Linked DNA regions of Schizosaccharomyces pombe. The gene in region 1 interacts genetically with each later gene. Each region holds a gene or a part of one and is shown on either strand. Other genes may lie near its edges. The genes, in order: brr6, cut12, kms1 and apq12.

Region 1 (3,777 bases):
AGGTGTTTCTGGGCATTTAAAAATTCAACCGTTAACTTTGGTGATCACCGGATTTGTAGCGAGTAAGGGTTGCTTGTTTTACGAAATACTAATTGAATGATAGATTTAACCCGCCAATCTGATTTAAATACCAGTTTGGTCTTGCCGGAAGTAAATCCATTAACAGCAAAAATGGAGGTAATTGACTGTTTAAGGAATAGTTTTTGGGCAGCTTTACGACCGAATTGTGTTTCATATTTTGCGTCTATGATTTCCGGCTTTAAAGAATTATTCCAAAAAGAAATGGAATTTCCAATATACCTGGATTTGAAGTCGTACAAGCTCGGATTCCATTGGTGTGATATTTATGTGGACTCAGAACACAACTGCCATATACAAAAAATAAACTCTCTGCCGTGTGAATAGCCATCGCCATTATCTGAATAATTATGTCTAACAAATAAAAATCAAACATTGAATGTTTGAATGAAAAGATGTACAGTTCATTCAATCATTCTCCGTTTTAAAAGCTTAGTTTGCTTAATTTACTAATATACTACAGTTTAAAAGGCTTATAAATAATGCATTTTTCCAAAAAAGAAATTCAAAGTTAGAATATTAATTGGCTCACCCTTGTGAGAAACAAAGCAATACGATACAATGAACAGCTAAATTAACAAAATTATAAAAGAAAATGAATCCGAATAACGAAATTTGTATGCCAAATTAGAAAGCATACCAATAACGTTCAAAGTAATGATATAAATGAAAGTGATGAAAAATGATTTTAAGAAAAATGAGGTTAGTAGAAAAATGAAGACGTTCAAATTTCTTCCTCCTGAGAGGCAGCTTCGATAAGGTTTCTATTGGAAATATCAGAAAGATTGGAAGGAAGGAATCTACTGGACGGTATCATCGCCGGGATAGCGTTGGCAGCATAATCGTGGATATTTTGAGAATGTCTAGCTCTATAAAGACCAAAGGCGTAATTGGATGTTAGTAGACTTCCAAATACAAGAATGAGGGAAAAAACCATAGTTTTATAAGAAATATGACTTATAAAAGCGTCTATAATCTCAGCAAAAACTAACGCTGCCAACTTTGTAGAACCGACATTATTAGAACTTTCCATTTTACATTGTTTCAGTTTTTGACAAACTTCAAAAATAGCAGGTCCTGGAGAGTCACAGTTAATAGAAAGATATTCCCGTTGACAGTCAGCAGCTTGTTCTTCTTGCAGTATTTTATGATACTCAACACGATTTCGGACATCGTTTTGAATGCCAAAGACAATTTTAAACAAAAAATAAAGAAAGATTGAAGCAACGCACGCATTAAACATCAGTTGCAAATAACCACTAACAACGATAGGTATATCTCGATGAACATTTGTCCAATCTGAAACATACACAGAATCTTGATTGTTGGCTTTTATGATCGCGTTCGAAGAATTGGACCTCTTAGTCAACGCTCGAGTACGAGAAGAAACCTGATTTGAAGAAGAGTTGGGCTTTGATTTTCGCAATTTACGCCTGACAGTCGACTTTTTGAGATTTTTTTCGTCAGGAGACATTGAAATATCCATTGGCTCTGGATCATTCTCATTCTGGGTTTTTTTTTTACTTTTCAAAATTTCATATTTCGGTCGAATTGGCGTATTTAAGACGGAATCAGGCCCAATATCCGGCATCGGTACATCTTCAACGTACATTTCCATATTTTTCTATTTTAAATAACTTTTTAAAAAAAATGCAAATATGAATGAGTGTTGGAAATCAATACTAGGGAATTGACTGGTGATTTCTCAAACCATGAGTAGATTGAAAAAAGAACGCAATAATTGATTATCAAGAAGCAAAAAACAAATTTAAACTCTCAAAACTTTTTCTTATTATTAATAAGAAGTGCAATTCGTAAAAAACCACTGCTTTCGCCAAGTATATTCTTGAGGTGCCTTAACTGCTTGGTAAATGGTAATTATTACTGTGAATGGTATATTTACAAATGCTTGTTCAAGCTAAATTGAGATTATATTGTTAATATACACGAGTCCTTATCCTTACACTTCAATTTAGAAAATTTATGTATAGATGTTTAAGTACTATGGTTTTATAAACAATTATGTTTTGAATGTTAAATAAAAACCTGCAACTATATTTCATTAGCATGACGCTTCAATTCGTATTTTAAAGCTGTAATATGTTAAATTATGCTATTTTATATACCTTTTTTTTCTATCAAAAAAACAATTAATATCTGAGATTTTGAATATATTTTATTTTCGTTTGTATTAAAAATATATGTAAAAAGCGAACCCGCCCAATATTTATATTGTAAACTAAATTAGGCTCTTAATAATTAGTGTAGAATAATTACCTTTTAAATGTTGCTTTTAGTGTTTTCAAATACTTACTCTATATAAATCGAAAAATGAAAGAATTGGAATTTCGTAATTGCTAATTATTATAACAAACGGAATATGTAGAATGTTTTAAAATTCTATTCTGGTTTACCATTTGTTTACTGATACATATTTATTACAGTAGTTTCAAATGTAAATAAAACGTTTGTTTACCATACAACAGATGTCATCAATACCACTATTGAACGACTAAGCCAAACTTAGAAATTCCCAAAACAAAGGATTGCAATGATTTGCAAATATATATATTTAGCCATATTCGTATTTGGAACAGCAAGGATCCCAAAACCTAGCGCTTGTTTACCTGGGGATTTTTGGAAGACAAAACAGGAAATTGAGGTACAAAAGAAAATAGATGAATTTAACCAGTACAGGATATCTGCCCTGTGGTCTATGGTTTCAAAGATGGAAGATCCGACACTTAGTGGACTGGATGGCAGATACATAGTTGTAGATCAAAATCAATTATATTTATCACCTATTTCAAAAAAGTCTGAAAAGCTGATCTTTCGGTTTAATTTAAATCATAGAGGATATCTCGAGGTGAAAAGGTAAGCATTACCAAACTAGCAAAAACACTTCAATAAAGCAGGCACTAATCCTTCATACAAAAGCGGATTTAGAGCTTTTATCGAAAATAAATATTCTCCACTGGTTTTTCATGCTACTAGTTGGACAAATGGATTTTCCATTGATGTACAAAAAACAAATCCCATATCCTCGTATACTCCATTTGTCATGCAATATCTCAATTCACCCTGGTTTTCTGCTTGTAGAGTTGAGTCGGGAAATTGGCAAGTATTTGTAGGAAGGATGAATATGAATGAGCATGAGCACTGCTACCCAATGTCACTAATTATGAAGCGAGAAGATACTTGGCTCAGATATTATCACAAAAACAATAGAAATCCGATAGACTGGAAATTAGTCCAAGATTGTGCAATGTGGCCCGATGGATATCCTGGAACAGGTAGGGAATCAGAAAAGGGCTCCAACCTTGAAGCAATTACCCGTTGATATAATAATAACCCTACAAAAAGATGTTCGTGCTTACGCCATAAGTATTTTGTCTGTTCAAAATTACTCTTACCTTACGAATTATCAGACGACTGCTTGTTCAACCTACAGTCGCTCATTTATTTCCTATAATAGTTGAATTTTCAAATAATATTTTGAGACCCAAATAAATCAATTAGCCGTAGAATAACAGTATATCTGAAATTATATATACACATACAAAAAACCCATTCATGCTCCCGAAATTTTAGTGCTTTACCTTATTCTTTCCTGCCTTTACCTTTTTGATAGCAGTAGTTCCATTTGCTTTTAAAGAGGACTGAGAAACTTTAGGACTGGCTTTTGCCTTTTTGCCCTTT
Region 2 (4,382 bases), on another chromosome or scaffold:
GTTGTTGTATAAATTTTTTGTCTATGCATTCGATCTCTGACGCGCACATAGAAGCCTGCGCCCGATTCACAACTTGCCAACTACCATCAACTGGTTTTGTTTTTGTACCCAATTATTTAAGGTGTCAAATGTCTGCTCAACAGTTTTATGGTGATAAGGGCTATGTATGGAATTTGTTATGCAGCTCAGTTGCAACAATTTATTCAGGATTTTACTAACAGCTTCAATTTTAGGCCCCTGCTCCTCCTCAACAAGCTTATGGAGGCCCAAACTATTATCCTCCTCAACAAAATTATCCTCAACAAGGTTATGCTCCTCCACAAGGCTATCCTCAAGGTGGATATCCTGCTCAGCAACCTATGTATGTTCAGCAACCTCAGGCCAGTGATCCTGGTGGCGATCTTTGCTGTGGTCTGTAAGTATAAAGAATGGGCGCGTAGAAGACGTCGAAATTGCATTGGAACGGTGAAGCACACTCTTAATTTTGAAAGGTGAATGGGGTATTCTTTATTGAATTAGGTCATTACGTCAGTCGATTAAAGTTGCTTTGGCGTTCCTTTCGAATAGTTCCCTGTTGAACTGTGTTTTGCTTTACCTTTTTCTCTTTACTAACGACTGTTTTTAGATTGACCGGTCTTGCTTGCTGTTGCTGTTTGGATGCAATGTTTTAAAAAACTATTTGGCTTGTTCTTTCTACTTTTCTCGAAAGAGAGCATGCACCACTGATTAAACTAAAAGCCGTGTTTATTTTCTGACTTGAGTGCAATTAATGATTGTTGGTTATTTTTTCATTAATTCCCTCGCCAGCAAACAACTTTATGGCGAGGATTTATTTATTTACATTGGTAAAGCGTTGGTCGAATAATTATAGATCTTGATTTTTCTGTACAGAGTGTCGTCTCACTTTTTGAAAATTGCTATTACCCAACCGTTTAATTTCAGCTTCTTTTCTTCGAAATTAAAACCTTTAGTTTTATGATGGACTGTCTTTTCTATTTTTTAAGCGCAAAATCTTTTACAGCATCCATTGGTCTAAATCGTTCTTTATGAATAATTTTTAGTTTGGATTAGTTGAAATGACTCGTCCTGAAAAAATTCGCATGTTTATTTATCTTGCTTACCCTGAAGGGGCAATATGTGTGTTTCGTTTTTAGCTAACCTTTCTATGGTTTGTCTACTTTTTTGCTGCTCGTTATATGTTGTGTATTCTGTTTAGTATGCTGTTGTTTTCTTTTAGTGTAGATGAACTCTTTAGATTTCCCAATATGTTTAAGTTTGATAGAGTCGGTTTTTGATCGATACGTATAAGAATTCCTTATTTGTTTTTTAAAAAGATTTTAAAAGTAAATTGAGGCATATATCTTACGTAAAAAGTTTAAAGTTTCTAAGATTTGCTTTGACTATTTCAAACAGGTAGATAGATGCGTGCTTTTTCTATGGTGGAAATACGACAAACTTGTTCACGAAAATGAAGCTCAACCATTGCGACCCCCCTTGATTCAAATGCTATGAATTTGGATGCGCAAGCTCGTTAAGACAAAAATTGCCATATGACTTTTATTGCAATGAGCGCTATATCTACAAATACTCAATATCCTTTATCAATTACCCATCTATAAGTATTATTTATAATCGTAGTAGTAAATGTATTTCATTGCAGCTATACTCTACTTCCTATTCAATTACCTCCTCCATATAGCGAAAAGACCGTTCACGATATCACAAAGTTTATTAACATACAATAACGAGTTCACATATTAAAAGAAATATGACGATACGCAGTGTGTAAAATAGTGTACTGAGAGGACGTCCAATGTAACATGCGATCGGGTTCTTTATTAGTTTGTTGTGTTTGTGCCATACGTTGAAAACCACCGAATTGGGAAATATTGTTAAAGTTGGGTTGTTTGGACATAATTTTGTTAAATTCGTTTAAATTATTTATATTTTTAATTATATTTTTACATGCAGAACAATTCAGAGATCCGATAGAATGTCAGGTAAGGAATTCCTATGTAAACAAAGCTAATCTCAAAATTTAGAAACTTTGAACACTCCGCCAACATATGCATGGGTTTTGAAAGCATTTTCTAGTAAATTAGCAGGAACTGTGACGAAGCCTGTTACAAAAATGTCCTCTTACATTGAGGATGCAGAATCTGATGCAGAACTTCCGCAAGACGCAAAAGAAGACCTGCGCCCAACTGAGACATTAACTCCGTTAAAAAGTAAAGCAGCACAAAATGGGATTTTGAAAACTCCAGGTACTTTACAAATAAAGAAGACCGTCAATTTCAAAGATATTTCAAAAGATGCTGCGACGTGGAATCGTCCAACGAAAAATAATTTCTTATTTACGAGATTAGATGATGAGAATCCTTTAATGGGTCATGAAGAATTCAAATCCCCTTTGTTACAGAGTACTCCAAAACCGAATATTAATAATCCGGATAATGAAAACAAAAGTAAGCATGACGAGTTTGATAATCGCTATAATATTAATATCAATGAATCCTATAAAAATGAGACAAAAAGCAATCAGAGATTAGGCGAAGATGTCCCTTCAAAGAAAAAATATCCTCACTCGATGGATGCCGAGATCTCTAAATTCAAATGGGATAGTAACAATAATAATGACTGGTCAAGTTTAATGAAGGATTGCTTTCGAGATGTTGTGAACAATAATCGAAAAATGAAGGAAATTATTAAAGACGTTATGATTGACACATCCCAAGCTTTTCCCTCTGAGAGCTTGGATGAACCTGACTATACGATAAACCTTGATGCGCCTCGTTCCTCTTCAGGAAAATACTGGAAGCAAAAGTTTAGTATGCTAGATTCTGCTCATTCGGATCTTGAGTTAGAATTAACCTCTATCCGTGAGCGTTTGGAATCCTTAATTTTAGAGAAACAAGAGGAAATCAATTTTTGGAAACAACGTTGTCGAGCTTTAGAAACGGAGAAAATCCATAATCATCAAGGACAACAGTCAAAATACAAAGGCAAGGAATTCGTTGGAAATAGATTTAGCCAAATGAGGGAGCTTTATACTGCTAAGCCAAGTCCGATTACTACTAAAGTTGTTTCTAGGCCATCCCAATCTGATGTGCGTGAGCCTCAAGAACAGGTTCCTTCCAAGAATTTACATCGGGGAGCAGATATGTCGCATTTGGCAGCTCAAATGCTGACTCATTCATCAAAAAAGTCCCATACGACAAACCTAATACCTTCTGAAGGAATAATTTCATCAACTCCTATTTCCGCAGCTTCCAAAGTACGTATGAATTTAATGCAGTCTAATCAAACTCCTACACCTGCTCCATTTTCAATAGCAGCAAAGAAGTCCCACTTACCGTCGAAACTTAGTTTCCCACAAGATGGTGGTAGCTTATCTTCTGCTACTACCTTGCAGCAATTGCCAAAAGCAAGAGTGACGCCAAACGTGTTATCTTCTTTAAGCTCAAACCTTGGAAAAACAAATCCAACGTCAGTATACCAATCAAAAGCGAACGTAACTACAAGTGCTGATGTTGAAAAACCACAAGTTAAAGTTGCAACTAGTTCTCGCGTGGATTATGATTTGAAGAGTCCAAATCAACGTACTGCGAATGCAAAGAAAAGATTAGAGGAAAGGAGAAGACGAAGGAAGTTGAAACTTCAAGAACTTCAGTTGAATTCCTGAAGGTATAATTTTACTAGATCGATATTGTATAATTAGAATGCATATCCTTTTTAAGTAAAGGACTGGAGCCTTAGTTTCATTTATTTTTGTTGAGGAAAGGTGTGTGCATCAAGTATTGAAAATTAACTATATTCCTTTCGAGAATTAAATAAAATATAAGTCCATTATTAATATTAACTCAAATTACTAATTTTTAGTATAAATGATGGATTCATTATAAGAGGCTTGTAAAAGGCCGTATTAGTCGTGGATATTGTAATTTAATTTCATCTTTTCATGCAGTATTTTACTAGAAAAACATTCAGCTGTACATTTAGATCGTAAGCTGACTGGAAGAATTCCATCTCCTCAACCTCCATTTGAATCTTGTCTTAGGCCATACGCAGTAAAAACTTGAAAGTAGCAACAATTTCATATTACCACACTACGATAGGTTATTAAATGGGAAAATGGGTGTCTTAGAAAAAGTAAATAAAAATATCTGCCGTTATATACTAATCTAAATTGGCTAGATTCAAGAGATTGAAGCTGAAATGCGCCGGACGCAAAAAAATAAGGCGACGGAGTACCATCTTGGTTTGGTAAGTTTTTTTAATTCATTTCTAACTGGAATGCCTTTTATTTTATAGCAAATATTACAATGTTGTTCCAACTTATAAAGAATCAACTCTAAATTAAACTAACCTAGTCCTTTAGTTGA
Region 3 (4,849 bases), 600 kb from region 1:
GACAATGTTGGATGAAAGATTCAAGGCGGTTGTTGAAGCAGGAGGAGAATTATTAGGAAAAAGAGGGGTTTCATTATCAGAACTACGATTGAAAAGTTCCGGATTAAAACGCTGCAAAATGGGCAGGACTAAGGAGGAGGAAGTAAGCAAAAAGACAAAAAAAAGCAAAGATAAAAAAAAGCCTTACCATTTCTTTGCTTGAAAATCTGTTCCAATGTGCTAGGAACACCTAATTGATAACAGGCAACCAAGGCAAGCAAAACGAAAAACTGAATTTGCCGTAAGGGTTGATTGCTTGATGATTCAATCAAGGTAAAGAACTCTTTCATTACATCTTGAGGAACATGAAATATATCAGAATAACTTTCTTCTTCTGGAAATAAGAGAACATTGTTTGCTTGAAACACGTCCCAATAATTTCGATATTGCAAAGGAATGGATGAATTACCTATAGACAAAAAAAAGAAAAAGAAAAAGGTTAGCATCATTACAGTAAGTAAGTAAAAAAGCAAGAAAGATGAAAAAAAAAAAAATCAAGCTAAAGAAACAAATCAATGATAGAATGCATCGATCCGTAAAATTAACTATTAATTGAGAAGGAAAAAACAGAAGAACAAAACTTTTACTAACCAATTGCTGTTTTATAATTTAAAGGCTTCACTGGTGAACCCCAATTACTGCTAGATGCCCATGGATCAGGCTCTAAAAATACATTATCGCCCATAAATGGAAACCCCGATGTTCTCTATCTTTTCGATGATCACTTCGTACAAAAGAGAAAGAAAACAAAGAAGATTTAATAAAATTTGAAAGCTAAGAGAGGTCCAATTGAAAATGTACAAATAATGCTGCTAGCAAAGAATTCTAAGCTGACAAACGAATTTTTCAAATCTTCACGAAAGTAAATGAATTTTCTTGTCTCTTGCACCAGTTAAAAATAAAATGATACGAGAAATAACTAAACTAGCGTACAGAGGTTTCAAAATATGTAAATGGCAGAAACCAGGTTTTACACGCTCAAACACATATACATATGGACAGTGTTAATTTCGCCAAAAAACCTTTGACGTCACATCGCTCGCTTCTCATAAAGTAACATGCTAACCAACTGTTTTGACTGAGTAGTAGCTATATAGAAAATGTAAATAGAAGACGTTTTCGAAAGAGTTGGCTAAATTGAAAGAAAAAGAAGTAATTTCTGTATTTATTGCACATTCTTGGATGAAAAAATCTGACCTTTTCTATGCATTTCTTTTTTTACGATCAAAACCTTGTATTTTTTAAAAAGTACAATATATACGACGTTGATTGACTAAAACGATTCAAGGATCAAAATATAAGTTAAGTAATCAACCAATCTTATTTGGAGTCTATGAAAGATTCTTGGGCGATCGTTGTTTGACCCGCAATTATAAATGCTGGCGTTCTAAATTACTGCAAATTCGCTTGAAGTTCTCAGAGGAATCGATCGATCTATAAAACAAATACGAATAGTTTCTACTTCACTAAAAATAATTTTTTTTTTTTTTTTTTTTAATTTGCGATTTCATTTGAATTATCACTTAAGTATGCACAGTACGACCAAGTTGTGGCCTTACTTTTCTAGCTGCTCTTAAATCAAGCATAAACATGATTTCTTCTAACATCTTTTTATCTATTTTCAAGTTTTATTTTAATCCGTCTTTTTCTGTGTACTTCTTTTTGGTCTCTCAAACCACTTGCTCAACAGCCCTACTGCCAAACCCTTGGATAGACCTTGCACGAAACCCAACTCACAACACTTAAGAAATGCGGTGAATTCGTGAACTGTTATGAAATGCACGCAGCTTTATGATAAATTCTAACAAAAAAATTCAAAACTGAATCCCATTCCCACTAGAATTGTGGTTCGTTTCCTGTATAATTATAATTGCCAGTTCCCTTTCCAAAATGCTAAATGAACGCGATTTTGACTTGATTTTCGATTCATATGACTTTAAACATGAAGGAAAAGTATGAAAAAAATTGATTGCTTATGCAGGTAGATCTTGTTTATTGAGTCAGAGACAAACTCTCAAGACTCTGGTTTTTCTCGCTTTACCCAATTACCAATAGGATAAACTATTAACAAAAAATTTTCTTAGGTTCATCTTTCCAACTTTTTGCCAATCATCAATGACCTACAACTCTTACATCCCGCTTCTGCACCACCTCTTTTGAGCGAATTCCAAAAACAATGTACACTCGAATTCGTACGGCAAAATGCAGATCTCTCTATTACAAAGGATAATTTTCGAGACGTATATAAAAAACTTACTGAAAACGAAGATGACTCTTTTGCGAATCAAGCTGAAAAGCCTTCGATGGAGCAACAGAATTCCAAAAATTCTATCAAAGAGGATGCAAATGAACACTCTGTCAATTCTGCACATTCAAAATCATCTTCTAATGCCTCTCCTGAATCCTTAAACCCTTCTCAAATGATGTCTAAGAGACTGTCCTTGCCGCCGATGTCTCAATTTACCGACAGTGATTTTGTCAATATTCTTCGAACTCCATTTGCCCAATCTACACCACTAAATAGGTAAGAATTTTTTTTTTAGAAAAGTCATTAAAATTCTAACAAGAAGAAATACGTCGTCCAGAAATACTGAGATGCCACTTGTTAGGAAGGATAAACCTGATTTTTCCAACGGGCACCATGATCTAATCAAGCAAATCACAGAACTCCAGGATATGTTAGATAAAGCTCGAGATCAAGCTAGAAAGAAATCTCGTACTGTAGATATTTTAGAAGGAAAAGTGAATGAACTTACCCACCAACTAAATATGGCAGATTCCAAATATAATGAATCTAAGGTAGCCAATAATTCGCAAAATAACCAAATTAAGACTCTTAAGGCTCAAAATCTAAACATTCACAAAAACTTTCAGAAAATTCAGTCAGAACTCATACAGACAAACTCTGGCCTCTACTCCACAAAAAAAGAGCTTTCAGCCTTGCAAGTTCGGTATGCCACTCTCTTGCGTAAGTTTACAGATCAGACTAAGAAAATTGAGGAATTAAGCTTGGCTGCATCTCGGTCAAGTGAAAATGAGAATACTATTCGTCGGCTTGCTTTAGAGAACCATGAATTAAAAAATTCTAATAATCAGCTAAACAACCACATAGATGATCTTACTAGAGAAAAACATTTAATTGCTTTGTCTAATAACCCAAAAGGAGATGAATTTTTATCACCCTCTAACCTTGACGAAATGGTTTACTCCAAAGAGGTTGGCCTTTCTTTCACTCAACCATCAGTTTGCATTTCTATTCCTGCGGTTGGAATGCGGGAAAGTGAAGAATTAAGAGAATTGGAATTTAAATGTAAACAACAAAAGAAAACGATAGAAGAATGCAAACACATAAGTCAATCATTGCAAAGCTCTCTTACTGCTGAAAGTTCGCGAAACAAAGAATTGGTTGCTGGATTTTTGATGCTTTCAGAGGAAATTGGTATCCAAAAATGGATTATTCAAAGCCTTTCCAAAATGTCTCCAACCCTAAACGACTTTTGTCGTCGGTACGATTCCTCTATGCCAACATATGAAGAATCAAGCCACGAATGCACAGTTCTTTCGAGCTTTAGTGACGATGAAACAGGACTCATGGCAACTAATACAACAATGAATAACTCCTCTAAAGATTTTATGGCGTCTCAAGATACTGTTAATGCAGACAACCCCCATTTTCTAGCAACGAAAGGACAACCTTTGCTTCTTTTATCGGTTATGAAATCCAACATTTTGCGACTTTTTTACGTCCTTTTTCTTTTTGCCTGTTTTTACGGACTTGATTACATATTGTGCGCCGAGCTATTGCAAGCTTTTTTGCGTGTTGTATTTACATTTTGCGAACATATAATTATACTCCTTTATGGACGGTATGAACTGGTACAGCCTTCTTGATAATTAGGCGACTAATAAATAATGACGAAAATGAAGATGCTAGCGAAAGATTTTTTTTTTCTAAAAAAAAAATCAGTGCTGATTTAAATTGCTTTACCCTTTTTCAACTTTTTGTACATAAAGGTGCAGCTGAATAATGGGTCTAACGGATAAAGCAATAATGGAACTTTCTAATTTAATAATAATGTATTTTTATGGTTGTGACGATTATGATTTTAGATGCAAGTGAAGATGTGAGAAGATTCAACGTCTTGTTGCTTTTGTTTCAGATGTGGAAGAGACAATAAGATAGGTAATTATCGTTGAGGTTATCCCCGTAAACCAAAATAAAGATGTGAAAACGAGAAATGCGGAAACCTTATGCGTATACATGAACCAGCTAGTAAGGACAAGTTAGTTTGTGAAAAAGTATAACAGGTAAAGAAATTGAGTAAAGTAAAAAAAATGAAGAAGGTAAATCAAAAAGTAAAACTTACCGCATGCCGTGCAATTTTGATGCAAAAGCTAGAGTCGCTTCGTAAAATTCAATATCTTTAGAATAAATTTTGACAATAGCTTGAGCTGGAGTATTTTTGACAGAAAATCTAACGGAAAGTGTTGTAATTGAATTAAAACTTTTAGCAAATGTTTCAGATTCGAACAAACGGACATTGACAATATCTGTTTCTTCCAAAATCCCCATGAAGTAAAGAGGTGAACATACAATTAGCTTAAGGTATTCGTGAATAGGAGACCTATGAGGAAGCAAGACTGTTCGTTTAACCTGCTTCAGAGATCTTTGATTTCTATCTTGAAAATCGACAGAAACCATAAAATTGCCCATAGCACTATTTCGAGGAGAATGCGGCATTTTGATTTGAAGCAAAGATGTGCCAGGTAACCTAGGATCAATTGAGAAATGGTCCAATCTGACCTCTGC
Region 4 (2,848 bases), on another chromosome or scaffold:
CCCCGGCTACCACCAAACCAAAGTCTGATTTCGGCACGACTACATTGGAATTAAAAAAAATGAATGAAGTTGCAAACCTGGTGTAGTTCGCTATTAGACTTTAAGATTTTGGACCCACAATTGTTAACTGAAATAACGATGCAAATTACGGACAAAGTGTTACAGTAATATTATGCGATTAATAATACAACGGTGTAATATAATGATATTATTATTACTGAACTTACAAAAATCTGATATTCCAATACTTAATAATTTAATAGAACTAAAGAACGAAGTTTCAGTTGGAAATGATTTTGCAGTCTTTTTGTTTTATATAAATTTATATTATATAATAGCAATGCCTACTCTCTGTGAAATGGAATTATAAATGATAATGTAATACAAAATGAATACTATTGTGTAAAGATGTGCAAACATTGTACGAGCTGCTACATAATATTGCATAATAAAGATATTTTTACATGTATATCACTAATAAGAAGTTGGGCATTGAAGAGTATTAGTCTGCTATCTTTGCAAATTGCTTCTAATATGTATATAAATAGCTTGGGAGAAAATTATTATTAATATTTAGTCTTTAGTAAGATCCAACAATTTAATTTATTAGAGCTACTTGTTTCATGCCGTTCTTAAATGTCCAGAAAAAAGATTTATTCATTCCAATAGAATAAATTAATATAATAAACAAGCATTCCCGCTATTCCAGCGTTAATATAATGGGTTTCATATGCATATTCAAAATGTATATAAAGGGTATACTAGCCACATTGTCATGTGCAGCCCTCGCTTAAGTAATAGCTTAAAACAACTGTGGGGTTATTGAAGAAATGAAAATGTTAAAAACGTAAAAGTTGTTTGTTTGTACGGTTGGACCCTCTAAACACTTTTTTCTATTCTGACATTTAATTAATTTTATGATGAAGATTTTTTTTATGTTCAGTAAGTAAAGCGATGCCTTATAACAATATTACAATGGTAATGGTATAAATAAAGATAAAAATTTTATAGCAATTGCAAGAATGAGTACTTTTGAAAACTCGGTTATTGGAGAATCAAGCTGAAGTGGTTGAAGCGAGCTAGTAATAACTCACTTTAAAGCATTTACCAATTGAAGTCTCACAAGCCTTTTGATATTTCGAAAAGGAAGGAATTATGCTAGGCACTCAGCATAAAAAGAACCATTTTATATGATAAAGGGCAAAGGGAAATTAATTTTCTCTCTATAATAGTAAGTATACTGTTGGATATTTATTCCAAAGGAAATATAGGCGGTGAATTCTACTTTTATCTTCTGATCTCTACGCTTTTATTATCAACCGTAAGAGTCTTTCTTTTATAGTAATAACAATCCAGTTAAAAAGGGATAAAAATACTTATCTTCCTTTTTATATATTACTAATCCTAAAAGAGCTTAGAAATAAGCAATTTTTTATTAACTAGTTCTTTATAAAAGCATATTTATAGAGAAAAGCATTTCATGAAATTATGCTATGTACAGCGAAATACGAAAATAAAATACCTCCTTTGACTAGAACTGTAAGCAACAAAGAGTAAACAATAAAAGCTTGTAGTCATTAGCAAATTAGATTTTTTTATCAGTAGTCTCGATATTAGATGAGATATGTTGACATAATCTGTTTGCCAGTTCTTTCTTTAAATGAGTTTTGTTTATAGAACCGTTTATTTCAACTCATCTTCCAATTTTTATTTTAACATATTTTATTAGCAAATGTAATCGTTGGTAAAATTCGCCTACAACGTCAACATTCAGTCAAAAAGCACACCTAACTACTCCCATCTCTATTACTCCCCGTTCATATTTTAACTTTTTAGAAAATGTCTTTGACATCCGTTTTATGGAATTTCGTCGCCAAACTTGCTGTGGACCATGGATTAAATACCAATCCTGATCAAGTCTTTCAAACCGTTGAAAATGTAGGCAAAAGTTTCGAAAAATATGAAACGTCTTTCCTAAAATCATTGTTCAATGGAAATCTAGGATTGAGCTTGCCCTCAGCTATTAATATCTTGACTTTGATTATAGTGTTATACTTCTCTTTGGTCATTGTAAATAAGACTACCAGTATTGCCCTTGCCCTCTTCAAAACACTTGCTGTAATTTCTTTTTTCTTACTAATCGGTTGTCTCTTTGCTTACTGGTTTATCAATAACGGATCTTTTTGAACATTGACTAGCAGCGTTATCTTCTTTGTTTTTTCAGATTACCGAGTACAAAGTGTTATGGATATGCTTTAAAAAATTTTATTTTAGTAATATATTTTTCATCTTTTTTGTTCCTCATTTCATTTATCATTCAAGATGGTTTCGACATTATTCTTGATTTTAGGACTGTATACGAAGAATGGCTAAAGGCCTGTAAAATATTTTTTAAATTAAAAGCATAGTATTGAGTACATTAAACATCTTAACAATTTGCGTTTGCAATATAAAACTTCAATTTCAATTAGTTACAGTTTTCAGAATTTATTTTTTTTTTGCAACAAAAATATTCAATTGACTTATCAGTGATATGAACGGAGTAATTCTATGAAATGTGAATATGAAAAGGAAGCCATCTCAAATAATACTTCTTATTTGCACAGCAGAAATTTGATTATTGCTTGGCTCAAGTACATGGTGAGTATGACATTATTATTGAGAACGACCTGGCATTTACATCCAATGTTTTCCTTCATCAGAGTTACGCAAACGCATAGACTCGATTTGGATGAAACCAGAGGTCCATGTAGGGTCAAATCCACCAAGCTCATCCATAGATGACAATTTCTCGTCATAAAGATGAGCAGTATCAGATTTACGACCGAGGACAGTGACATTGCCCTTG

Evidence for each region.
Region 2: mutations in brr6 (region 1) and cut12 are lethal when combined (synthetic lethality), as found in Schizosaccharomyces pombe (one study listed by BioGRID).
Region 3: of brr6 (region 1) and kms1, a mutation in one rescues a mutant of the other (synthetic rescue), as found in Schizosaccharomyces pombe (one study listed by BioGRID).
Region 4: mutations in brr6 (region 1) and apq12 are lethal when combined (synthetic lethality), as found in Schizosaccharomyces pombe (one study listed by BioGRID).

What each region holds. Positions count from the first base shown.
Region 1 is NC_003424.3:2,860,593-2,864,369, reverse strand, and holds brr6 (nuclear envelope protein Brr6/Brl1), read right to left. Parts: upstream 1,955-3,777; 5' UTR 1,697-1,954; coding exon 803-1,696; 3' UTR 525-802; downstream 1-524. Other genes in the region: DNA replication protein Cdc24, read left to right, coding at 1-62, 104-405; protein mug130, read left to right, coding at 2,630-2,952, 3,016-3,418; SPOM_SPAC8F11.04 (U3 snoRNP-associated Cic1/Utp30 family protein), read right to left, coding at 3,666-3,777. UniProt on the Schizosaccharomyces pombe protein: Involved in mRNA and protein export from nucleus.
Region 2 is NC_003423.3:539,290-543,671, forward strand, and holds cut12 (protein Cut12), read left to right. Parts: upstream 1-1,866; 5' UTR 1,867-1,993; coding exon 1,994-2,000; exon of another isoform or gene 2,001-2,042; coding exon 2,043-3,682; 3' UTR 3,683-3,879; downstream 3,880-4,382. Other genes in the region: tail anchored plasma membrane protein Uvi15, read left to right, coding at 129-164, 234-415, 626-671; GTP-binding protein Gtp1, read left to right, coding at 4,132-4,149, 4,195-4,263, 4,379-4,382. UniProt on the Schizosaccharomyces pombe protein: Required for bipolar spindle formation. May act as a regulator of the p34cdc2/cyclin B kinase. Required for full activation of the plo1 kinase.
Region 3 is NC_003424.3:3,461,136-3,465,984, forward strand, and holds kms1 (protein Kms1), read left to right. Parts: upstream 1-1,762; 5' UTR 1,763-1,929; coding exon 1,930-1,992; exon of another isoform or gene 1,993-2,123; coding exon 2,124-2,563; exon of another isoform or gene 2,564-2,609; coding exon 2,610-3,930; 3' UTR 3,931-4,173; downstream 4,174-4,849. Other genes in the region: sei1 (seipin), read right to left, coding at 4,174-4,309, 4,407-4,849. UniProt on the Schizosaccharomyces pombe protein: Has a role in karyogamy, recombination and segregation during meiosis. Although it has been shown to associate with the spindle pole body it is unlikely to be involved in its formation or maintenance.
Region 4 is NC_003423.3:447,095-449,942, forward strand, and holds apq12 (nuclear membrane organization protein Apq12), read left to right. Parts: upstream 1-1,839; coding exon 1,840-2,187; 3' UTR 2,188-2,304; downstream 2,305-2,848. Other genes in the region: arg12 (argininosuccinate synthase), read right to left, coding at 2,677-2,848. UniProt on the Schizosaccharomyces pombe protein: Involved in the regulation of lipid homeostasis in the endoplasmic reticulum, thereby impacting nuclear pore complex biogenesis and localization, and nucleocytoplasmic mRNA transport.